Bombyx mori: one gene and its partners. The main gene of each other region encodes a partner of the protein of the gene in region 5 in a complex. Links are inferred from orthologs where the notes say so. Each region holds a gene or a part of one and is shown on either strand. Other genes may lie near its edges.

Region 1 (2,433 bases), on a different chromosome or scaffold from region 5:
AGTTTATTACTTATCTATACATAAAACGCACCAAAACTTTGTGGAGTTATTCGTGAAACTTTGAAAATGTCGCAAAGAAAAAGAAAACAAATTAATATTGAAGAAAAATCACGTATTTTGTAAATATATTTTTCCAATAATTCCCTATCGATTTGTTTGTACTTGCACGATACACATTAAACATTACCGGTTGTTACGACTATCGGTTTTTACGACTGAATATGAGCAGTCCCTTCGATGTCGTTATAACAGATTTTGACTGTATATATATAAGGCTAAATGGAAATCAAAACTGATTTCTTTGAGATAAAACAATATGAAACAAGTTTGTATATAAAAATAAGATTGTCAAACATTTGACCATTGAACCAATTCTAAACTATAAACTATACCTGTTATTAAAATTTGTAGTTTTTATTGATAATAGTTGAGTTTTTGGTGGTACTATTTGAATAGACTAATTGTGTTTGTTAAAGGTTATAGAAATGAAAACAAACTGCTCGAATTTATGTCATGATAAGGGATTCAAAGTCAAATAATAAGTAAATTAGCTTAATTCTATTTTTAAAATCGAAGCGTTTAATCTTCAGGCTTTTCTGGCGGTGGGCCGCATGGTTGAAGCATTCGTTCCATCAAATTGAATTTTACGCGCGCTTTAGATTCATTTTCTACGATCGCAAAGTAACTCAACAAATCCGGATGACCCATGTAACTGCAGCAAGAGTCGCGATGTTGGTTCATAAGCCATTCATATTTTGTAGTGTCGGCGTGGCCTGTGCCTATATATTTGCTCTGTAGATGTTCAAGTTGACTGTGAATGTTGTATCTTTCACCCATTTTATTCTGTAAATTATTTTAAGGTTATAGTTCGAGTTAGTAATGTCATTAATGTAAAATTAAATGGTTATAAAATAAATAAAACGTTTCTAATAAAATATACACACTTACTTTAAAGGCAAGATGCTTGTTGAAATCGTATAGACTCTAAAGTTTATATTCTAATTCAGCTAATATTGATATCACGTAGCAGCCCAAAACAAAGAGTATTCATAGACAATACATAAATTGCAGTGCAGATTACTGCAGACACGGCGTATCTAAACCATAGATACAATACTTAACGTTGAAATCTAAACACCAAAGGTTGTGCACAGTTTTTTTTATTATTTCTTTCACTGCATCTTTCACAGTAAGTTCTTAGATCTGTTTACATATCATCTGGTTTTGAAATAAGCTTTCATCTTTTAACGAAGCTTGGGAAGAGCCCCGGCAGTGGAATTAGTCTTAGTCTATGCTTCTGACGTTGACGTTCATCAGAGACGATCGCCACTTATTATTAAGTGGGACAGATACTCGTTTGCCGATAATGCTGACCAAAACAGTTGAGTACAGCTGTGTTGTCACATTTTCCTATACTTGTGGACTTTTAGAGATACTAAACGGTTACAATTTTTCATTAATAGCACGTTTCAACAAACAAAAAAACAGTAAGTTAACAAAATTAACTATTAACTACACTTCTACAGCTCACGCAACAAAGTTATTAAAGCAAAGAGGTTAATAAAAGATAAAATAAAAAGTAAAAAAAGGTAAAGGAAGGATAGAAGTCGTCGTGGTCTAACGGATAGGACGTCCAGTGCATTCGTGTTGAGCGATGCACCGGTGTTCGAATCTCAGGAGGGTACCAATTTTTCTAATGAAATACATACTAAACAAATGTTCACGATTGACTTCCACGGTGAAGGAATAACATCGTGTAATAAAAATGAACCCCGCAAAATTATATTTTGCGTAATTACTGGTGGCAGGACCTCTTGTGAGTCCGCGCGGGTGGGGACCACCACCCTGCCTATTTCTGCCGTGAAGCAGTAATGCGTTTCGGTTTGAAGGGTGGGGCAGCCGTTGTAACTAAACTTGAGACCTTAGAACTTACTATATCTCAAGGTGGGTGGCGCATTTACGTTGTGGATGTCTATGGGCTCCAGTAACCACTTAACACCAGGTGGGCTGTGAGCTCGTCCACCCACCAAAGCAATAAAAAAAAACCCGTGAGATATACATAATTACAACCACGCTAGATCAGCTGCATCTATCATGGAATCTTAAGCTCATCATCATCATCATCATCATCATCAACAGCCCACAGTCGTCCACTGCTGGACATAAGCCTCTCCCAATCCACACCACTGAGCCCGGTCTGCGGTTCTCCTCATCCACTTATCTTAAGCTCACAGGTATTTTAATTAAGTGTATTTTCTATGCTCACAGTTACATATCAACTTAGAGTACTTACAAAGTACACTCTAGGGTACGTTGATATCGTCGTATTTCTAAACTCTTTGGTATGTTGTTATGTTGATTAATTGATCAATTTAAAACCAGTTGCCATAGAAAATACACTACCGTGTTTATTCAATATTTTTGATAAACTTA
Region 2 (3,245 bases), on a different chromosome or scaffold from region 5:
TGAGTGATGATTTATGTAGTGGGCTATGGCAACTACTTAATACCAAGTAGGCAGTCAGCTTTTTTCTTCATCCAGAGCAATACAAAGTGTGCAGCAATTCGCAAAATGTAGAAGTGTAACCTGTAGGAGTTTTCTATCTCGTTCTCTCACAGACTAGATACTATAAAATAATATGCATCTCTTTTTAGTCACTTCTAGAGCTTTAACTATATTAAAATAAGGTTGTATTATTTACTTTTTAGTTTCAAATCATAACCAGAATGAGAACCAAAGTTTTTTTAAATGAAAATTGTTTTTGCGAATGAGGTTGTGTTTTTAAACGAATTTGGAATCTAATACCCAAAGGCCAAAAAAGAGCAAGAAGGAATGGGGTAAAATACATTGAAGATCATTAGATTTCAATATATTTCCCTGTTTTCACATGCTCATTTTTTGCAAGGACAATATAAATCGCAAACCTTTTCTTGTAAAGTTAGTGTTGAGAAAATAAAACAAGGTTATGGTGAAAATTTACTTATAATTAATTATACAAGTTATGGAATTCATGCTGAAGAGGTTGTTTCAGACATAGTTATTAAAAAAAAAAAAGTATTAAAGTTGTTTCATTTAAACATTGTATACAACAATAGTTCCAATTAACATTTTTCTCCTCAATCATTAGTATTTCGGGATATATACCTAAGGTAATTTTACTGCTAACAGAGTAATATGAAATTTCTATTTTTTTGCTTAAAATTTCCCTTTTGCCTGTTATTCTTAAGATAATTCCTTATTCTAACTTATGTAATAATTACTAATTATTCTTTCATTTCTCCTTCTTCATCTTCTTCATCAGCTCCTCTTACATACAAGACATTATTGCATCTTATTAAAACTTCACCTAAATTACCTGGAAATAAAACCCAATACTTAAATTAATAGGGTTCTTAATTTAGTGTTTTGTATGTATGGACTAACAGAACTAACTGAACTAGTATTCAAAACAAACGCCGTTAAAGCTTTACAGAACTCTGCTGATATGACTTCATTAAGTTTGATGTAGCATGGACTGAATTACAATAAAAAAGATTCTTAAAAAAAAATATAAAAAAAAATATTTAAATGTTAAGATTTGATTTCTAAATTTTATTTACTAATTTAAATTAATTAAATTCACAAAACTATTCACAACCAAAAAGTTTGGTTTGGAATCTTGTAAGTGTCAAGTTGTCTCTTGTTATGAAATTTATTGATTTTGTGCATTCTTTGTAGCAAGTACTTTTTTTTTCTTTAAAAGGGCAAATGAACCCCATGACATTTAGTGTTAAGTGGCTTCTAGAATTTATAAGTTTATTACAATATGAATATTAAATCTACTCTTCAAAGCAGAATGCTTGAAAGCTTTGAAGTCGAAATGGGTGCAGAATAGTGTACTCATAATAGACCAAACAAACAATGAACGTCTCATTTTTAATTCAATTTTGGTCCAGGTCCACTACCAGTAGATCTTAATCTCTTGCTTTAATATGTTTTCGTGATTACTTAAAGTTGTTCACTTAAATACTAACCTGTACAAGTTCCATCGACAAGTTCTTCAGTATTAGCAAGTTGCAAATTCATGTAGCCATCTGTTGATACTAACAAACCTTTGTATTCATGACCCCATTTTAATTTAACTAGCACGGATTTACCCGTTAGACTATTAAGAAATGGTTTGGGATTTATTGGCATAGCAGCCGCCATTTTTGCAGGTTCTAAAAAGTAAATTGGATGTTAATTCATTTTCAAACCACCTTTATTGTTTTCATTGCTTATTTAAGAAACATCAGTACTTACTTTAATATCGGCTAACAAGAAATACAAAATATAACCTCAAAATGTATCGGCTTCGCTTCGAGTTCGACGCTAATTTCTACTCATAGATATTTTTTTATTTTTTATTTATGAAAGCATTGAATTTGCAACACGGCCATCAGCTACTCATAGATAATACACCACCATAGATAAAACACAGGTAGTTTAAAATTTATTATAATTAGTTCTTTCTAGGACTTTTCGGCGGGAACGCGAGGAGTGGTTTGTTTTATTTTGTCTAATTAGTCTTTCTTCAGGTTTAAATGTGTAATAACGGTGGCTTATTAACTGCTTAACTGTAACTGTGAAAGTGCACAAATGTGGGAAAACGAAACAAAGCCACTGAACGTAAGTTCTCGAGATCTTCCAAAAAGTCCACTGAAAAAGTCTCAGTAAATGATCACCATTTTACTGAGATTATACTTCATCCCATATCATCTCATCTCATTTCATTTCATTTCGTTTTCATTTCACTTCATGCCATGTTTCATATTATTCAACTTCATTTCATTTCTATAATTTTCATATAAAAAAGTTACGTAACATAAAATTAAAATAAGACTTGACCTAAAAGTTTTAGTTAGTCCAGGTCATAAAATCCCTTTAAAAAAATGTAGTAAAAAATTAATAATAGTATGTATTTCATCTTATTATTATTGAAGCCCAGTTGAAAAAAAAACTACAGAAAATGGTAATTATTTTCTTTAATTTATATAAACATAAAGTCCTGAGAAGTCAGGTCCAGTGATTTTGTTATATTTCCACAATCTTTTACACTTTCAAATATGTTTAACTAATAGAGAAGGGCTTGTAGCGACTAAAACGACACACCTAAGCTGAAAGTTCTCAACGTATTTGGAGGAATTCGCTATTGATAAAATGTGAAGAGAAGAAAAAATATGTGAAAAGCTTCCATAAAACTATATATTAGCAATAAAAACATTTAGATAAGTTTGTTTAATTAAAGATGGTATGAACGATCTTTGGCCTAACTAAAAACCATCAAATAATTGAAAGTAGAGTCGGTTTTTTTATAAAACTATTTTGGGAATAGAAAACGAGAACTTCAACATTGTGTGTTGAAGTGCTTATGCTGAGAGTAGAGCTATAACACCAAACCATTTTAAAGACAAAATGTACATATTGTTAAAATAAATGTTAAATGGATTCGAATAATTAAATGGGCGAAACACTATTTCAATGGGTTTTTGGCTTAAAAGACCAGAATTCAATCTAACGTGATTAAAAAAGTTCCAATAACGTCAAATAGTCAATGTCAAAGTAGTGTTGCAGAATAGTAAAAATTTGATGTGAATCAGTGTTGAATCAATGAAAATATAGATTTTTACGTTTACGATCTATCTATGAGTTTTGCAATTTTTTACATTAATGCACCTTATATGAAAAACATA
Region 3 (3,500 bases), on a different chromosome or scaffold from region 5:
TCAAGATCGGAGTCCAATTTCTTTTTCCTGAGTTCAATGCTGTCGGGAGTCTCGAGTCCGGGCGGCACGGAGCTGAGTCCGAGCGGCGTGGCGAGTCCCTCCGCGGGAGTGCCGACCCCGCCCATCTCTGCCTCGCCCTCCTCGCCCGATTCCTCTGTATACAGCATACATTCAAGACGAAATTTTCACCATTTTCATTGCAATGTTATTCGACTTTGACAGATTAATCGCCATGCGGAATTATTTTCAAATATCGCACTAACAATGAATTAATAACTTTATGACTTAAAGGTCTTAGTTACCAGGTCATAAAATCACTTAAAAAAAATATTAATGATTTCGGTTCAAAGTCGTAGTACTCCGGATCGGGAAGAAAGAAATAGATTTACATTAATTGTATGAATTCGTGAAAAATTAACGAAATTTTAAAACGTATTTTCTTATTATTTACATATCAAAGGCTTTTTTCCACAGGAGAAAATCGCCGGATCCCCATCCGCGCAGCGGGTGGGTTATGTGGGAGTTGAACCTCACTAAAAACTCCTGCCGCTCACAGCCGGCGCCCTACCTCGGACCAGGCCGGAGCCCAGTTGGAGTTATTGAGACGGCGGGACAGGGTTTACGCATAACAGATTACATCCATCCCGCCGTACCCCAGACGCCGGACCGGCGGTCGTGTCGCCGGCGGGATCTATGTGATATGCTATGGATTGCCACGTTCGACGGGCCGGGAGCCCACCTTGAAGGGTAAAAGGCTATTTGGTGTAAGCGACATTTGAGTCGTCTATTATCAAAGGTGGCAATCTGTGCATTTGGACAAAAAAAAATTATTGATATGTCAATACAGATTGATTTGAATATAATCGTCTCCTTCAAAGAATACGGTTCAAAACCTGCATTAAATAAAGGTTAATAGTTAACCTGTTATTTATCTAAGATGTCTTTCTGAAGAGTTTTGTGACTGCCAATGGAATACAAAGTCAATAATTCGTTTTTCTGATTTACCAATAATTATCCAAAAGTCAGATTGCCGGCTTTGATAATAGTCGACTCATTTATCTTTGCAATTAAAGATGCGTTTTATTTGATATTAGCATCAACAGTTCGATGTTTTGGACTTCAATTAAGTTTACTCCATTCAAATAGCTGAAAAAGCTTGATTTTTTATGATATCTTTTCCCAGTTTAAAACTTTAAATGGCTCTCCTGTAAATTTGCGAAATGTCGCTTGAAGCAAATAACCTTTCGCCCCTCGATAAGGGTTGTAAGGGTTGAATATTAATTTATTATTAGTGCAATATTTGCAAATCATTCCGAGGGATCCGCATACGTGCAATCAAAGAAAAAAAGAGCACCCAAATACTGACCCTCCTCCGACTCTTCTTCTGATTCAGACTCCAGTTCGCCCCACATTGTCCTGTCGATGTCCACGTCTTCGCCGTCCTAGAGAATTAAGATTAAACAATAAATTACATTAACATTATGTACTTATTATGAGATAATTCATTTGTGCATTTCAATTTGCAATATGAGGTATCACATGATTGAGACTTTAGTCTTGTATGTACGCAAAGGGGGTAGGAGAATTCTCGTTATGATATCTACAGGTTCTGGTAACCATTTAATATGAGATAGACGGTCAATTAATTATTATGTGATGTTGACAATTATGAGATTAATTCAGAAAATTATTCAGAGATTTGCACAGAACATTTAATATGAGTTTATTGTAATATTTAATAGGGGAAAGAAATGAAAAAAAAAGGAATCATCTTTGAAAAAGTCAAAGTTTCTACGGATATGTTGCAAGAGTTTGAGCCTTATTATCATTGCCACACGACATTAATATTTCATCCGCAACGTAGTATAACAAAATTCATCAGGTTTGAGCCCCGTGAGCTCACCTACTAGTTAAGGCGACGCTGATATAGCCTCTCAAGGCTATCAGCAAAGGAGGATTAAAAAAAAAAGTATGACAAAGTCCAACTCACATCTTGTCCACTCGTCTGATGTCCGAAGACATCTCCGTAGAGCGGTTTTCCCATTTCGTCGACGGGCGGTTTGCCCCACCCCCCGGCGTGGTAGCCGAAGGCGCACCCCTCGGGTATGGGCGCGTTGAGGCCGGGGATCTTGAGGTTCGGGTACGAGGGCGGCGGCCCGTACCGCTGCTGCGCGATCAACCACGGCGGTGGTACCTATAAAAATACATTTAATGTCCTTCGTTAGCAAATATTGTATTTAATAATCTATACTAATATATAAATCTACAGTGGTTTTTACGGATGTTCCGTTATAACTACTGAACCATGCATCCGATCGACATGAAACTTGGTATCCATGTAGACAATACATGTACTTAATGGATAGGCTAATATTTATATGAGTATTGGACTCCCTACACCAGTTGCGGGGGCGTTAATGATGAGAATCTTTGTGGGGGTGAGAAATAGTAATGTTAATTTTAAATGCCCAGCGTAGCGGACGGGTACACCTAGTTAAATATAAAAATGTTTTAAAATTAAAATATTTATTACATAGCTATGTAATGTTTTCACTTCAGAAATATTAAATTTGTTACTGGGAAATTTATTGTACTATTTCAATTAACTTAGTACCATTTAGATTCGAATAAATCAACCAGGGGAATTATTAATTACATTTGAATAAAAAAATCTGAGAAGTGGATGAGGAGAGCCGCCGACCGGGCTCAGTGGTGTAGATTGGGAGAGGCCTATGTCCAGCAGTGGACGACTGTGGGCTGTTGATGATGATGATGATGATGATGAAAAAAAATCTGTTTTATATACTATATTTCGAGTAACTGTGTCAATTAACATAGAACAACTTTCCGAGAATTTTAACCTTTCACAGACGTGTACCATCACCCTGTCTATTTCTGCTACGAAGCGATAATAGGTTCCGATTGGTACTGCCTAGACGTTGCAGCCAGCTAATATGTTGAAATGGTCTCCACAATCGCGCGTATTATGAAATAAGATGTTATCCACAACAATCGAGACTTTTTGGCGGGAACGCGAGGAGTGAAGTTGTGTGTTTTGTTTTATTTTGTCTATTTAGTGTTTCTTCATGTTTAAATGTGTAATAACAGTAGTTTATTAACTGTTTAATATATGTGAAAGTGCACAAATGTAGGAAAATGAAACAAAGCCGTTGCGGGTTTCATTTTTATTACACGATATTATTCCTTCACCGTGGAAGTCAATCGTGAACATTTGTTGAGTACGTATTTCATTAGAAAAATTGGTACTCGCCTGAGATTCGAACATCGGTTCATCGCTCAACACGAATGCACCGAACGTCTTATCCGTTAGGCCACGACGACTTCAAAAGAGAGATTATATTTCACCTCATTTAATTTTATTTCATCCCAGTTTTTTTTACGTCTCAAATCAATCATCTTTATTTCATTTCACTCTATATTATCATTTTTCATAAAAATAAGAATATAAATTAAAATAAGACATAACCTAAAGGTCTTAG
Region 4 (4,141 bases), on a different chromosome or scaffold from region 5:
CATAATAGAATAATTCAAGATGATTTATTAAGTAAATTTCACATCAAGCCCCTCAAAATCCAATGCAATTGCATTTAAGTGATTATCTTCCAACTGCAGGCTGCTTAATTTAAGCAGTAATACACACAATTTCCACATACATATACACAATAGTTATGTGTCATTAGAAAAAAAAAACTTTATCTTCCATGATATAATCTAAAGAGCACCCAGACTATAAAACATAATAAATAATCATTACATAAACATTTTCATGGCTTAGTCCCTATTTGTACTAATAGCACATTTGTTTGCTCATTAATTGGCCCAAAAGAATTGCATAGAACAAATACGTTTTGTTAAAATAGTAAAGAAAATGTTGTACAGTCTGTGTTGACTTAAAGACAGACTGCTATGAAATTATAGATATTTTATAAAATTATAATTGAAAAGGATATAAATTATGATGGGGACTGCCTGTGCTACTTTCCCCACCTCCTCATCCGTCTGCATTATCTTCTTGATACGTCCCTACAAACAAACAATGTCATGATTTCACTAATCTCAGACTTTTATACATGAAAACAACACATATTTTAAGGTTTTTGAACATTTTTTAAGAACTTTTGAACTTACTGGTGGAAATCTAGCATTGTATTTTCTCTTCTTCAACGGCATTTTGTATGTACGTTCACTATAACACCAATTAAACAGGAAAAATAGTTAAATTTGTCTATAGAACTATTACTTCTCGCGCATTTTTGAGGTTATAAAAGGGAGACGTTCGCAGCCTACTTCATTTATATACGAATTTGACAGTTCGTCTCCACCTCTTTTTGTGACCATTTTGAAACATTGAAATTTTGAACATTAAAATTCATTGCTATGGCGATAATGATAATATTTTTTTCATTTTAAACTCTAAAGACAGTCCGAAAACATATATTTCGAAAAGAATGATGACTTGTGATTGTGAATAATTTTGTTTCAGTCAAGTTAAAAAAATCGTTCAGAAATATCATTTTAAAAACAGCATCGAGAACTATGAATTTTTATTGCGAATTCCTTCAGGATTGATAACAAAAAAACCGTTCAATGATCAACAACAATGGTACTATTTAATGTATAGGCGAAATTAAATAACAAAAGTTGGTTCGGATGTCTACCTTGCTGACAGTGTACCTTGATTTACATAATACGTCTTGTGTTATTTGAAAAGACCCCCTCAGCATTAGTTTACAATCTCTGCGGAAGAAAAAATCAAACTCAAATTGTCTTTCATTCATTTTATCACAAAATTAGATTACATAAAAACAATTCCATTCCATTTTTCAGACATACGACTTTATAACAAAAGATCAGATTGAAGGATAGTTCTCTTTACTATCCATTGGACGAATCGTACAGAGAAATAAATCAAATGTCAAAATAAATGAACAATGTCAAATTAGTGAAATGTCTACGGTATTTCAGATTCAGACATAAAAATGGCGTCGTTGTCGAGGTGTGTTTTAAATGAAAACAATCAACTTAAATACTTGAAATTGAATATACAATAAACGCCGAAATTAAATAATAACTGATTAAAGCTACTAGTTAAATTAACTATTGTAAATAAATAATTTCATACGTTTACGTATTGACAAACTGACCGTGGTTCACGTTTCATTTTTAGCTTGTTGCCTGCCCCTAGTCAGCAAGTGTGGGATAGAGATGATGAGTTGAAGGCTAAACGTGTCGGGAGTGCTCTTGTAGTGTCCCAGACCAGTGTGCCACCTTACGGTGAGAGGAAAGGATGGGTACCTCGAAGAGACGAAGATTTTGCAGGTCTGTTAAATTTTGTAGATAAAAAAGTGAATAACCCCCGAAGTGAGAATCAAGTCAAAAAGTAGGTTTTTATTTGAAGTCGGAAAAAGAGTATCATCATCGATTCTATTCATACAATAGCATGTTTACTTCTGACGTGTGCTTATCCAGATATTAATCAGTAGTTGTGGCTTTCATATGAATTGAGAGACGGGAATAACCCCCGAAGTGAGAATCAAGTCAAAAACTAGGTTTTTTATTTGAAGTCAGAAAAAGAGTGTCATCATTGATTCTATGCATACAATAGCATGTTTACCTCTGACCTGTGCTTAACCAGATATTAATCAGTAGCTGTGGCTTTCATGTGAATTGAGAGACGGTATGCCGCAGGGTGTTGGAATCTGGATACCGAACTAGATCTTTCAGTAATTCTGAATGTCATTCTTACATAAAAAACCAGGTTATTATAATTAAAGTGGTTTTTGTGACATAAAACTACATAGCCTAATAATATAATCTTAATAATAAAATACATAGCTTAGTAACTATTGTGATGGCTTGGGATACAGGTGTATACAAGCTTGTGTAATGAAATAAATGTAAATTGTAATAATATATTTACAGTAAGAACTTGCTTAATGAGTGATAATATACATTCCATCAAAGTAGAGTTTAATATGAAACAGCATTAAACATAATCTCATAATGTAAATAATGGGGTTAGGTTAGATAGAAAATTGGTGAGGTATATAACATTAAATACCTCACCAATTTTCTGTCTATCTTTCTCCTATAAAACAATAATCTATTTCTTACAAATATAGAAACAATAAATGAATATAGTCTGTATGTTTATGTTGTATTTCAGTTCATACAGTTTCTTCTGTATTGCCAATTTTCTGCCTTTATTTTGCCAGGTGGTTGGATGTGCTAACAGCCCACGTGATGTTAAGTGGTTACTGGAGCCTATAGACATCTACATCGTAAATGCCACCACCCACCCTCAGATTTGTGTTCTAAGGTCTCATCTTTAACTACGGCTGCCCCACCTTTCAAACTGAAACTCATTAATGCTTTATAGTGTAAATAGGCAGGGTGGTGATACATCCCCGTGCAGACTCACAATACGTAATACCACCAGTAATTACGCATTATAATTTTGTGGATTTGATTATTATTATGTGATGTTATTCCTTCACAGTGGAAATCACTTGTGAACATTTGCTAAGTACGTTCATTGGAAAAATTGCCAGATTCCTTATTGTTGTCGTTGCCAAATTTAATGCAGCACCAATTTCAGATTGACATTCACCAGTATCTAATCTTCTATTAGCTTGCATCTAGTTTCTAGGGAAATAGTTTTTCTTGTTGCTTTATTTTTGTGTTTTTGTTAACACCCATGATAAAAACTTAAAATAAAAATATTTGTCACTTTATCAATCATTGTATCATATAAATTTGTACTTACAATAACACCAACAAATGTTTGAAATGATAAAAATATGTTGGATAACACTGCAGGATAGGAAAAACACAGAATAATTTATTCTGATATCGGGAAGCCTAGTGCCGTGTGCAATTTCAGGTCTTCTTCAGGCAAATCTTACAATTCAAATAAAAGAGAGTTAAACTGAAATCCCACTGAACGAGTCAGCATTATGTCAGGGTCTTACTGTACTTTCAAATTACACCTAAAATTAATTATATACGCAGTATTGCTTCAAAGCTTGTATGTTTTAGATGGCGGAGCATTCCCAGAGATCCATGTGGCACAGTACCCGCTTGGTATGGGAATGCGAGGCAAGGAGAGTACTTCAAACGCTCTTGCTGTCCAGCTGGATGAGTCTGGGAGAGTCAAATATTCTGCGATTGCCAGACAAGGACACAGCGCTGACAAGGTGATCAGTTAATTATTTGACATGGTGAATGAGAACACAATAGATATTATTGTTGAAGTCCTTGATTACTAAACACTTAGATATGTAAACACATAATAGGCTGATTAGAGAAATAATTTAAAACATCTAACAAGTTCTGTGAAGTCTGTTAAAAATCTCTGAATCTTTATTTATTTTAAAAGTTTTTGACTGTAAATAATATGTCTGTGTAGAATAATTTAAATGTGACCATTGATGTCATTGTTGGAAAAGGCGCCTGTTTAGTTGAATGAACAAATATTATGGTACCATAATTATTTCTGCACAGATTTCAATTTTGTATCATATAACCAGTCATCTAAATGGATCGATAACTTAACATTAAATAATATTAATTGAGAAATAAGCAGTAACATAGTTTGAGCATTTCCTGAAACCATCTCTAGGAAAGTATTATTGGAAATTTTTCCAACCAACAG
Region 5 (2,787 bases):
GACACTGTCTGCCATTTGAAATATCTCAGAAAACAATACTTAGTCACTGTTTCCATACCTCACTCATTACTTTTGAGTAATTTCTTGAGAATATTTTTGAAAAAACACTACATTTTTTTACCCTAGGGGAAAGTATGCTGTGGACTCATAGTGTCTGTCATGAAACCAACATGTTAACAAAATATTGGACTGGACTGCACAGCTTAATCCCATGATGTACATCAGATCTAATTTGCACAAATTAATAAGGGGCTATGAAAAAAATCATATTAAAAACACACTTTTACACTTTGGTTTATTATAGAAATTATAAACTTATTGACAGGTTTGTGGACTTCTTGACCATTGTAATTTTGCCATGTTTCTTTAAAAATGTTAAAGCATCTATATTTTACAAAATTGTTAGTTACTACTTGCACCAAAAGTAAGTATCTTTTTTTCAATTTTGGTATGTTCAGCCACTAATATGAAGTTATTTTATGCTAATATTAACAACAATACTGGTGAGACTCTTTTAATGCATCATTATAATAACTGATCGTTTTTAGCTTTATCTTACAATATGTGAACTTGATACAATTTCAATATATTAAAATATCGAGTTTGTTTATTTATTACATATAGTTGCAGAATCATAGAACTAACACAGTTTCCAATTTTGTAAAAGTATTATTACAGTTTAAGGAATGAACCAGTAAAGCTATTCATTTCCTGAATATTTTATTCATTAATACTTAAACTAATTACTGCATTACTTCCCTGCAGCTGTAGCAAGAGGATTCCTTAGTACTAAGATCACAGAATCACCGCGGAGGAACATTTTGGAGATGAATTTGTCCTTGTTTACAGCTTTGCCCTGAAAATAAAACCAGAAGTTATACGTATTTTGAATTTGAAGAGTTTTAATGAAATGAGCTAACACAGAATGTTTCATATCCACATAATTGTCATCTTGGGAATTTCCAGTGGTTTGTATTTTATCTCCGCTAATATTGGCCTAAAATACGCGACATCATGTCTTATTGTGTACTTTTCAAGTTGGAGCTGTAGCACTTTTATACATGAGCGCTTGGGAGTGGTTCCTATTTCCAATACATAACCTCAAATTTCTGAATCAATTGAACTGAAATACAGTAACATCTGTTTACCTTCTTTCCTTTGCCAGTTCTCGGTACCTCAGTCCACATTTCCTTAACATTCTCCAATACCATGTTACAATGCCGGTCGAAAGCCTTCACTCTACCCAGGAGTTTCTTATTGTTACGGCAATTTATCAGAACTTGTGTGTTGTTCTTTACTGACTGCGTGAGCACGGAAAGAGGTCCGGTACTAAACTCTTCCTCTTCGATTTTAGATAGCTCTTCTAGGGTCATTTCAGAGCGTGGCTTAGTTGTTGACGTCCTATAATAAGGTTAACATTAGAGTTATTGTTGACCATTACCGGCTAAGCAGATAATATGTTAAATATATTGTTAAAACTACGTAAATCATATTAATACTTACATTTTGTATTATTTTATGGGCTTGTGAACTGAGAAATTGAGTGAAAAAGATTACAATTACAGCAAAACTATCGTACACACGCTAAGTCGACGCTTTATTTTGTCTATGGTGACTCTGCTTTTTAATTCAACAATTTTTTGTAAGGAATTTTGTGACCTGGTAACTAAGACTTGTAAGTCATGTCTTATTTTAATTTATATTCTTAATTTTATGAAAAATGATAATATGGAGTGAAATGAAAATGATTAATTTGGGACATTAATCGACTGGGATGAAATAAAATGAAATGAGATGATATGGGATGAAATATAATATAATCTCAGTAAAATGGTGGTCATTTACTGAGATCTTTTCAGTGGACTTTTTGGAGGATCCCGAGAAGTTACATCCAGCGGCTTTGTTTCATTTTCCCACATTTGTACACTTTCACAGATAATACACAGTTAATAAACCACCGTTATTACACATTTCAACCTGAAGAAACACTAAATAAATAGACAAAATAAAACAAATCACACAACTTCACTCCTCGCGTTCCCGCCAAAAAGTATTATTTCAACAAACAATTATGGCCACTAAATGTCAGTTTTTAACTCGACACTGACATTGATGAAATCGTAAAAAGACGGTGGTAATACTGAAATTAAAGTTAACGAAGAGTTTCGAAAGGAGACTGCACGTCAAAATGGATCGTGAAACCCTTTCAAGATTTATTGAAAGTTATAAGTTCCACATTTTTGTGGAATGTCTCAAGCGCAGACTATATGAATAAACCAAAAATAATAAACGTATTACAATTTTTAGGCCCATTTTAGGGGAAGCTGCAAGGATTGATAGCGTGCGTAAAAAATGATATTAATTATTTGAGTATACTCTGCACGTTTAAAAAAATCATCCAAAACCTCTTGCTATTTTTTGCCTCTCTTCTGCTGCTGCTGACAACATCAGAAGGACTCCCATTTTTGGCGTTTTGATAAAGCAGCTGGCATTTTAACTTAAAACCCTCATTTAATTCGTTCGATTTATTCTGTTCGCGCTTGATACATCCAGCACTGCGGTCTTGAGCTGACGTACAGCCGTGACGGATCGTGAATAAAGCGCTAAATGCATCGTGCATCGTGCATGGCCTTGGCGGGACGTACAGCAAGATGGATCGTGAATAAGGCGCTTAAGGAAATTTTAAAATACAAAGTCATGATCATATAATCAGCAATTTTGTATATGCCATGCTTATTTTATGTTAACGAACTTCATATTCAATTAAATTTCTTTATTTCATTACCG
Region 6 (4,210 bases), on a different chromosome or scaffold from region 5:
TTATAGTGATCACATCTTTAAGAATTCAACTGAAATACTGCAGGAGTAGAAAATGTTTAAGTCTGAGTAAAACGGCTAAAATACATTTCGGTACCAAAAACTTCAATATACCATTGTCATACTTAAAAAAATATGTTTTCATATTATATTATCATCATATTCAAATTACTCACAGGTGTTGTATCTTGTACAATTTGTGAAAAATAAATGAACCCAGTATGAGGTAGAGCTGTTGCTTGCGAGAAGCCTGACAGTGTCTTCTTCTGTTGCCCGAGAGGTAACACATTACACGCTGGCATCTTTGATAATTTAGACAATCCACCGGCCACACCAAGGATTTTTGCTGCTGTTGATGCTCCTGAAATACATAGTTTTGATAGAAATTCGCAGGTGGTACAACATATTGTAAGCCCGCATGGGTAGTTTTCATTGTCTTTGGATATTTGTGCCATGAAGCAGTTAAGTTCTGGCTTGGATGGTGTGATGGGTTATAAAATATAACTAAGAGCTTGTGGTGCCATTGTGCTTACTATGGGCTTCGATAACCACTTATCACCAGGATAATTCTGAACTCATTCACACATACCCTTCAATTAGAAAAAGTATTCATTTAATATGCTCACATTCATTTAAGAAATATTCTATTGTAGTTGATTAACAACTACCAATATATCAATATGGTTAAATATTTTGTCGCGAGGGGGATTAGTTAAATTATTTTAATGTCTAGACCATTGGAGGGTGGCTTGTTAAACGTAGAACCCGAGCACTCTCAACAAATTTTTGGATATAGTTTTAGTATAAATAAGGCCATCCAATGATGGACAAGAACAGAGTGCAAACTACCAGACAGGTCAGACCTCCTGAGCATTGTAAAAAGGGAATAAATTGCTACAGAAAAAACATCTCGTTCTAACAACAGATCGTTTCTCTACTTTGCCAAGCAAATGTTATTTTAAAAGGGTTACAATTTAGAGTTCTGATGCACTTACAATCTGCCAGGCTCAAAAAATGCAGAAAGAGGCATTTGGTCCTTCTAATACTCTGCTATTTTGGAAATTATATGATGAGGGGAATAATTGCAGTTGGCTAAGGGTGATTGCACAATTGTTACCACTAATCGTTTTGGGAGTGTTAAATAGAATTTATATTAGTAATTATAGGCAACAGAATGTATCACTTACCAACAATGGCAGTTATGTTTGGTGCAATAAAAGTCATTCTACTTTCAACATACTCATATATTTGCGATTTGAAATTGTTCAGCTCACTTGCCATATCACAGGCCTCATTGATTTCTTCTAGTTCAATTTGGCTTAGTAATTTCCTGTCAAATGATTGAGTTGTTTAATAAGTAACTATTTTACACAAAATGTTCATCAAAATAAATCTTCAAAGTCCCTGTTTTGTACTCTAGTCCACTATAATAATTTAAATGAATTTGAAATGTTGCATTTCTACATTTTTATTTACATTTATTCTTTCTTCTTCCTAGTCGTACAGTCTTAACAGAGTGGTTGTGGTCATGTATCAGTCGAATTCTGCGATACCAATGCTCTCGCGTTGCAATGACATGTGGCACGATGTTTCTCAGAGTGAGTGCATTGATTTATATTAGCAAACAAAATAGACCACAAATAGAAAACAAATAAGAAGCTAACCCTTGAGTTGTAGATGCAGTAACAGAAACAATCATAATAGTGGCCTGAGTAAGAAAACTCTGTAATATTTCATTATTCTTAGCCCTGTCCAAATCATTGCCAAGTTCTTTCACTGTCCTTATGTATTCCAATGGAGTGATGATTAGAGATTCCAATTCAGGAAACCGTTTCTGATATTTGTCACGGACAAATCTGTGAATAATAGCTGAAAATTTGCATTTCTTGACTTTAATATTGTAAGCAGTAATAATTAGACAACCAAGATAATAATTTCATGAAAAGAGAACTATTAACACTACGTTCAATCATAAAAGTTCAATTCTCTGAAACTGTTTTAATAAACAAATCAACACATGAAAAATGGAGATTGGAATGCATACCTATTTCACCATCAATTTCAACAGCAACATTATTTGCTTCCACAATCAGTTGATACTCAGGGTCAGACTCCATTAAGCCAGCAACTTCAACCTTATTTCTGTTATTTCCAGCATTACATTCTATTTCACTCATAACCTAAAAGTTGTTTACATGAAAAATTGTAATTTATATTTAAACTGTTCTTCAAGAAACTTTATTAAATACATACACGTTTCAGACGATCAGAATATCTTAGTTTCGCGAGTTCTCTTATCGAGACATTCTTGATTTCTTCTTCTTTAGGTAAGACGGGATATGGAACTGCAAAGTCGTATTCTTCTTTGGTTTTGCTCTCGATAGCAGCTTCGAGTTCACCATCGTCATTTTCTTCTAAATCAGCAAGTAATTCGTCAGCTAGAGACATGCTTCTGTAGAACTAAATTGATTTTCTGAGTGTTAAGTTTATGTGTGAGCTTGTTCTGTTTCTATTGTATTCTGTAATATTCTACAATTATTACAGTTTTTTACTCAAATCGACTTTCACAGCTATACAGTATATTTCATTTAGTATACATTATAGATATTAATTTGATTTTTTAGTCAGCGATGTCATTAAACTTCAATAGTTTGTACCCAAAACTAAATGATTTACCTACCTATGTACCTACGGCGACTAATATTTGCAATAGTTAATTTGAAAAGTAAACAGAAATGACAGTGACAGTACGGTACTTGACAGTAGTAAGTAGTACCGTACCTACCTAGTATGTAGTAATTCCATTTTTCCAAGTATAAAGACGAAGGTATCATACGATATGTTTATTCATAAATTATAGATTCTCTTTCATGGAAATGATATGAAGCTAAATGAATTTAAGTTGATTAACTGGAGATATTCATTAATAGAGATGAAATTAAATGAAATAAGATGAGATGATATGGGATAAAATATAATCTCAGTAAAATAGTGGTTAGATATTTATTAAGACTTTTCAGTGAACTTTTCAGTAGATCCCGAGAAGCTGCGCCCAGCAGTTTTATTTCATTTTCCCACATTTGTGCATATTCATAAATACTAAATAGTTCATAATTAACCACCGTTATTACACATTTAAACCTAAAGAAATACTAAATAGACAAATTAAAACAATTCACACAACTTCGCTCTTCGCGTTCCCGCCAAAAGGTCTCACAGGACGGTGACTTTTGATTGTTTTTTACAATTTAAAAAATACTGAAAGCTGTAATGAAATAGTCTTGGTTTTTTTTTTAAGAATTGAATCAAATTTATGAAGATTTGGAGAAATCGCAACATAAACAAAAAACTAAGATAAAGCTCATGAGAACCCTTATCTTCTCCATACTCTCGTACGCTTCTGAGACGTGGACCCTCAAGGCCCGTATCCGATTGAAAATTGACGCATTTGAAATGTGATGTTGGCGCAAAATGTTGGTCGTATCATGGACGGAGCGCCGAACAAATGTATCAATTCTCTCGGAGCTAAACGTCAAGACCTGTCTATCTACGATCTGTATGCAGCATCTCCTCAAGTACTTCGGACACGTGACCTGACGAAATCTTGACAAATTGGAAAAAATAATAATTGTAGGTCACGTGGAAGGAAAGAGAGCTCGAGGAAGATTGCCAACCAGATGGACGGACATTGCCAAGGAAGCCACAAACACCAGCGTTCCGGGTGCCATTCAGCAGGCCAAATGCAGGCAGCATTGTAGGAAACTAGTGCAATTAGACCAAGGTGGTCACGACTCATGATCCACAGTAATGAGGAAGCGACGAAGAAGAAGAAATGTACTTTTAATCTGAAGAATTACGTGGATCAAGTTTGACTTATTTTCTAATAACAATTGAAAAATATATTACAGGATTTTCCTAAAAAGTACGTCAGAGCATTAGATTTTAATACTTTTAATCCATAATAGTGGAAACAGCTCAGCTTTAGTAGAAAATAGTAGTGTTGTATGATCTTATACCTCTTAGACACTACATTCAGAATCATTAAAAAAAAATATGTCATAACTGTCAACAAGCAGAATAAATTTTCAAGCCCCTTTTCGTCAGTTCGTCACATCTTGAATTTTTCGGCTGGAATTGGGCTTTTTGTTGGTGGTGTGTAGACGCCTAATATTTAAATAAAGTTAAGTGAACACCTTCCTATTCAATTTTTTAG
Region 7 (4,010 bases), on a different chromosome or scaffold from region 5:
CTGAGGTGCTGATGTGCAGTGTGAGCTTGTATGGTTAGACACCACTGTCCTGTGCGTCTGTACAGTGAAGCCGTCATGACTTCTATTATTATACTATCTCAGAAGCAGTAGTGGCCAGTGGAATTTGACTAATAATAATTATAGTTAGTTGACACTGCGTGTCTCATAAATAAAAACACTAGTTATTATCCAAATTGTTTTTTATTTGTTTTCAATCTTTTGATATTCACACCCACAACGACACATCCTATCACATATCTGCTGACAGTCTCAGTAAACTTGTTACACTGTTTGTAACTAATCTAAATTCGAACATAAAACATTCAAATTAAAAATATTTTGCATAAGAGGTTGTCGTGTCCTAAAGGATAAGATGCCGAGTTACACACATTTAACAAACATGCATGATTGTTGCAGGTTTTATGCTGCGAAGCATTCCAATTTGCCCATTAAGACAGCATTTATCCCAAACAGTACAACTGGGACTTTGATCTCAAACCTCATGGTAGGTGCAGGCCTTCATAAAGTCTATAGGCTCCAGTTACAGTGCAAAAAAATTCAAAATTATATGGATAAAACATTGTCAAAACTCGGCCATTGGTTAAGTTTGGTTTGTACAAGGCAGTTTATAATAACTTTTTATATTTAATTACAATAGTCACCCCCGCATAAACCACACATAGATATTTCCTCAAGCCAAAACAAGATTGAACTATTACCCATCATATGGACAAGATTTCTAGATTATTGGGACTGATATAAGGATAGAACATAGAGATTAAACATTGTATTGATTGGGAGTCACAATAAGTCACCATAGGGTAGCATCAGTGTGTAGTGTCTATTTGATCAAATGGTCCATGAGACCTAAGATGTGTAAAGCAGATTGAAGGGTGACCAAAATAAAAAAACAGAAAATCTGGAACAGGACCTTATTGTTACATTTGAGAACATAATAATAATCTTTGAACAAACAGTTGTTCTATTTCCAAAATTTGTATTTTTCTCACTTAGATATATCAATATATAAGAATGATAATGAAATAATTCCTTGACAATTGAAATATAAGACAAGTACAACTTAAGCTATCTAAAAAATATCTTAACGCTAGCGTCGAGATGGTCCTGACCCACCTTGCCAGCCTCCACGGTGGCCCCCACCTCTTCCACCTGCTCGTCCTCGACCAGCAGCTGAAAATTTCAAAGATTTGTATTTTACTTCTTGATTCCTCTAGATGTGTGAGTAAGCTTACAACCCACTTGATTAATGATTTACTGTGGCCCACAAACATCAAAATAAGGATGCTGGTTGGCATGATACTTGAGATGAGTATGAAGAGATACATATATTTGATCGCTCAAATGTATTGTAGTTACTGTCCAGCCCGTCAAATCAATTCACATTCCTGTTTAGCAACAGAAATTTGCCGTAATTATTTAAATACACAAGAATGGGTTTTCACAAATGTAATAGATACAGTTATTAGTTTGCATAACATTATGTAAAATAGGTTTTACTTTAGATGTGTGAGATTGTGTGCATTAGGTACTTGACATGGTCTCATCATTCACATATTTTCTTTAACCACCCAAAGTAAAATTGTCAATAACATATAGTTGAATGATTAGAAACAATTAACATTGGAACAAAATACTGATTTGATATTACAAAACTTAAAATTGCAAATTTGACATTGTATGTCTATATAAGCACTCAAGAATGAAAAATTGTAAAATATTCTCAATTACTATTAAAAAACTGTGACAAAAAATATCTATACAGGATATAAACAAACAAGACATTTAAAAAATCAAAGCTTCAAACTACCTATTTTTTGCTCATTTGACCCAATTGATCACTATGTATTCAATGCATTTGTACTAATTTTAATGAAGGCTATTTATTGATTGTAATTAAATGTGCTTATCTTTCATACTTGCATACGTTTTCTACTTAGAAATTTTCGTTTAATAATTTGGTTATATAGTGCAGTAATTGTTAAATAGACTTCACTCAAGTCTAATTTATAACAAGCCTAAAGAAATGGGTTGTTCTAAGCTAAAGATGTTTATTCTTTTTTAAGTCTTTGAATTAAACGAAATTAAGAACAATGCATATTCACAATTTCAGTGCTAGATGTAATTAGACTGCAAGTCAGACAGCACTCATTCATATATTAACACTCGTATGTTGTCTTGTTGATAATGAACACAATCACTACGTATGTGATGCGAGAGAACATTTAGGATACCTAGCTCGATAAACAAATCACATACACACTATTTTTATATTGTTCAATACCTTGGGCTCGCAGTATCGCACTCTTCCCTCGTCCTGCAGTAGGTTTATTCCCTTGTCTTTTGAACATTGGCGCGTTCTTCAACATGTCCGGTAATATTAAAAATCTGATCTTGGAACCACGGATGTACACATTCTCGAGCTGTGCAACTCGGCCATCTCTGTATGTGACTGTTACGAGAGTCATTTGGCAATTCATATTATCCTCAGCTTCAATTAATTTCCCTCTATAAACTTCACCGGTATTTGTTTCACAAGTCACTACATGACCTTCCGCCTCGTGAAGTACTTTAATAGGCACACCGATAGACATGTTTACGTTTTAGTTAAGAAAAACGTACGATAAAGGACAATAATTCAGTATTATTTCTTAGATTATTTACGATAAAAATGGGAAAGAATATTTCAAAAAAATTAGACGCTTCAAATCCATAGACATCTAATGTAATATGGCGGCGAGTTCCGTGCATAGACAATAGACATTTTTATTCATTCATTGACAGACAAAGACAACATAACCCATATTACCAAAAATCCATTATGATTTTTAATTCCCTTAGCATTGTGAAAATCAACTTTACTGGTGGTAGGAATGGTAGGATGTCTGCGAGTCCACAGAGGCAGACAACACTACCCTACCTATTCCTGCCGTAAAGTAGTACTACCTTTCGGTTTGAAAATGCAAGAGCATCGCAGGGTATAACTATTGAGATTTTGCAAAAAGTTAAATGTAATCTTAGTTAATTCCAACCATTTTTCTAAATAAATTACATTTCACTGTACATAGCCTAATAGACCTAGTTTCATTTGTAAAAAAAGCTAGGTGCTTAGGCTTTATGCTTGGGGTAGCAAGGGGGCGTGTAAATAGCCCTCCTGCGGCGGGAGCATATAAAGCGGGGTTGTAGAAAGGCGTGTAAATAGCCGTCCTAAGCGGTATGTGACAAATGTTTGTCACTTATAATTAGCGGAGCGGTAAAACTATATAGCGGTAAACAAAAGCTAGTAATCAAACTAAAGATATAAATTAAATACACATAAGCGAGCGGGCGGGCGAATGATTACACGAAGCAGCAATAAAATGGCAATAAATTAAAAGAACTTGCACTCACCTGTAGATCTTGCCAGTGACTGTCGTGCGGGCGTCGGCGATGGAAGCACGCGGGCGGCGGGAGGGGGTGACGAAGCTCACGTAGCTTTTCGTAAGCTCAAGCACCACACAATATACAAGTGCCGCCATCTAGGCAGCTAGCGGTAAAGCGTGATCGATCGGGTAGAACCACGCTTTGGGTAGTCGCGGTAATTAGTTACTGACAAACTCCAAAGGTGGCGCCATCCCAATAATTCATTAGCATCCCATTACTAAATCCGCGTGACCATCCTGCCCGCCTTGAAAGTTCGCAGGACTTTCAACAAATATATAAAGATACTAAGATAGGAAGCATAAAGCTTAAATAGCGGGAAGTTATTTGAAAAGAAACAAATTTTAATTAATAATAAGCCATCATGAATGTTTACGAGTAGAGTTGAAGCGGTTGATGACATGCGGTACTCTAATTTATTCTAGCGGTAGCGGATATAATTTTACAACTGGACGTTTAAGAAATCCAGATTTCGTTTTTACCAAAGCAACGCGTATAATGTTATCGGCACCTGGATACACCTCTTGTATAACTCCAAGTGGCCAGCGGAGCGGTGGAATGTCATCTTGATG

What was found.
Region 1: small nuclear ribonucleoprotein sm d2 (region 5) and splicing factor 3B subunit 5 share a complex: the UniProt entries of both Homo sapiens proteins name them as parts of the minor spliceosome. The link is inferred for Bombyx mori from reciprocal best matches to the Homo sapiens genes SNRPD2 and SF3B5.
Region 2: small nuclear ribonucleoprotein sm d2 (region 5) and small nuclear ribonucleoprotein protein F share a complex: the UniProt entries of both Homo sapiens proteins name them as parts of the SMN-Sm complex. The link is inferred for Bombyx mori from reciprocal best matches to the Homo sapiens genes SNRPD2 and SNRPF.
Region 3: small nuclear ribonucleoprotein sm d2 (region 5) and splicing factor 3B subunit 2 share a complex: the UniProt entries of both Homo sapiens proteins name them as parts of the minor spliceosome. The link is inferred for Bombyx mori from reciprocal best matches to the Homo sapiens genes SNRPD2 and SF3B2.
Region 4: small nuclear ribonucleoprotein sm d2 (region 5) and puff-specific protein Bx42 share a complex: the UniProt entries of both Homo sapiens proteins name them as parts of the minor spliceosome. The link is inferred for Bombyx mori from reciprocal best matches to the Homo sapiens genes SNRPD2 and SNW1.
Region 6: small nuclear ribonucleoprotein sm d2 (region 5) and U4/U6 small nuclear ribonucleoprotein Prp31 share a complex: the UniProt entries of both Homo sapiens proteins name them as parts of the U4/U6-U5 tri-snRNP complex. The link is inferred for Bombyx mori from reciprocal best matches to the Homo sapiens genes SNRPD2 and PRPF31.
Region 7: small nuclear ribonucleoprotein sm d2 (region 5) and small nuclear ribonucleoprotein Sm D3 share a complex: the UniProt entries of both Homo sapiens proteins name them as parts of the SMN-Sm complex. The link is inferred for Bombyx mori from reciprocal best matches to the Homo sapiens genes SNRPD2 and SNRPD3.

Annotation. Positions count from the first base shown.
Region 1 is NC_085126.1:5,965,730-5,968,162, forward strand, and holds splicing factor 3B subunit 5, read right to left. Parts: upstream 1,109-2,433; 5' UTR 949-1,108; intron 844-948; 5' UTR 838-843; coding exon 580-837; 3' UTR 501-579; downstream 1-500. UniProt on the Homo sapiens protein: Component of the 17S U2 SnRNP complex of the spliceosome, a large ribonucleoprotein complex that removes introns from transcribed pre-mRNAs.
Region 2 is NC_085117.1:15,790,773-15,794,017, reverse strand, and holds small nuclear ribonucleoprotein protein F, read right to left. Parts: upstream 1,894-3,245; 5' UTR 1,816-1,893; intron 1,734-1,815; 5' UTR 1,723-1,733; coding exon 1,548-1,722; intron 890-1,547; coding exon 798-889; 3' UTR 501-797; downstream 1-500. UniProt on the Homo sapiens protein: Plays a role in pre-mRNA splicing as a core component of the spliceosomal U1, U2, U4 and U5 small nuclear ribonucleoproteins (snRNPs), the building blocks of the spliceosome.
Region 3 is NC_085131.1:3,909,943-3,913,442, reverse strand, and holds part of splicing factor 3B subunit 2, read right to left. Parts: intron 2,195-3,500; coding exon 1,991-2,194; intron 1,443-1,990; coding exon 1,367-1,442; intron 155-1,366; coding exon 1-154. UniProt on the Homo sapiens protein: Component of the 17S U2 SnRNP complex of the spliceosome, a large ribonucleoprotein complex that removes introns from transcribed pre-mRNAs.
Region 4 is NC_085130.1:3,027,660-3,031,800, forward strand, and holds the start of puff-specific protein Bx42, read left to right. Parts: upstream 1-1,341; 5' UTR 1,342-1,466; coding exon 1,467-1,483; intron 1,484-1,654; coding exon 1,655-1,806; intron 1,807-3,525; coding exon 3,526-3,683; intron 3,684-4,141. Other genes in the region: uncharacterized protein LOC101746654, read right to left, coding at 438-510, 616-657. UniProt on the Homo sapiens protein: Involved in pre-mRNA splicing as component of the spliceosome. As a component of the minor spliceosome, involved in the splicing of U12-type introns in pre-mRNAs.
Region 5 is NC_085132.1:3,762,098-3,764,884, forward strand, and holds small nuclear ribonucleoprotein sm d2, read right to left. Parts: upstream 1,582-2,787; 5' UTR 1,506-1,581; coding exon 1,504-1,505; intron 1,402-1,503; coding exon 1,149-1,401; intron 857-1,148; coding exon 752-856; 3' UTR 501-751; downstream 1-500. UniProt on the Homo sapiens protein: Plays a role in pre-mRNA splicing as a core component of the spliceosomal U1, U2, U4 and U5 small nuclear ribonucleoproteins (snRNPs), the building blocks of the spliceosome.
Region 6 is NC_085116.1:12,784,479-12,788,688, forward strand, and holds the start of U4/U6 small nuclear ribonucleoprotein Prp31, read right to left. Parts: upstream 2,801-4,210; 5' UTR 2,678-2,800; exon of another isoform or gene 2,458-2,677; 5' UTR 2,446-2,457; coding exon 2,251-2,445; intron 2,178-2,250; coding exon 2,042-2,177; intron 1,867-2,041; coding exon 1,662-1,866; intron 1,328-1,661; coding exon 1,185-1,327; intron 359-1,184; coding exon 174-358; intron 1-173. UniProt on the Homo sapiens protein: Involved in pre-mRNA splicing as component of the spliceosome. Required for the assembly of the U4/U5/U6 tri-snRNP complex, one of the building blocks of the spliceosome.
Region 7 is NC_085122.1:328,611-332,620, forward strand, and holds small nuclear ribonucleoprotein Sm D3, read right to left. Parts: upstream 2,801-4,010; 5' UTR 2,613-2,800; coding exon 2,303-2,612; intron 1,192-2,302; coding exon 1,109-1,191; 3' UTR 183-1,108; downstream 1-182. UniProt on the Homo sapiens protein: Plays a role in pre-mRNA splicing as a core component of the spliceosomal U1, U2, U4 and U5 small nuclear ribonucleoproteins (snRNPs), the building blocks of the spliceosome.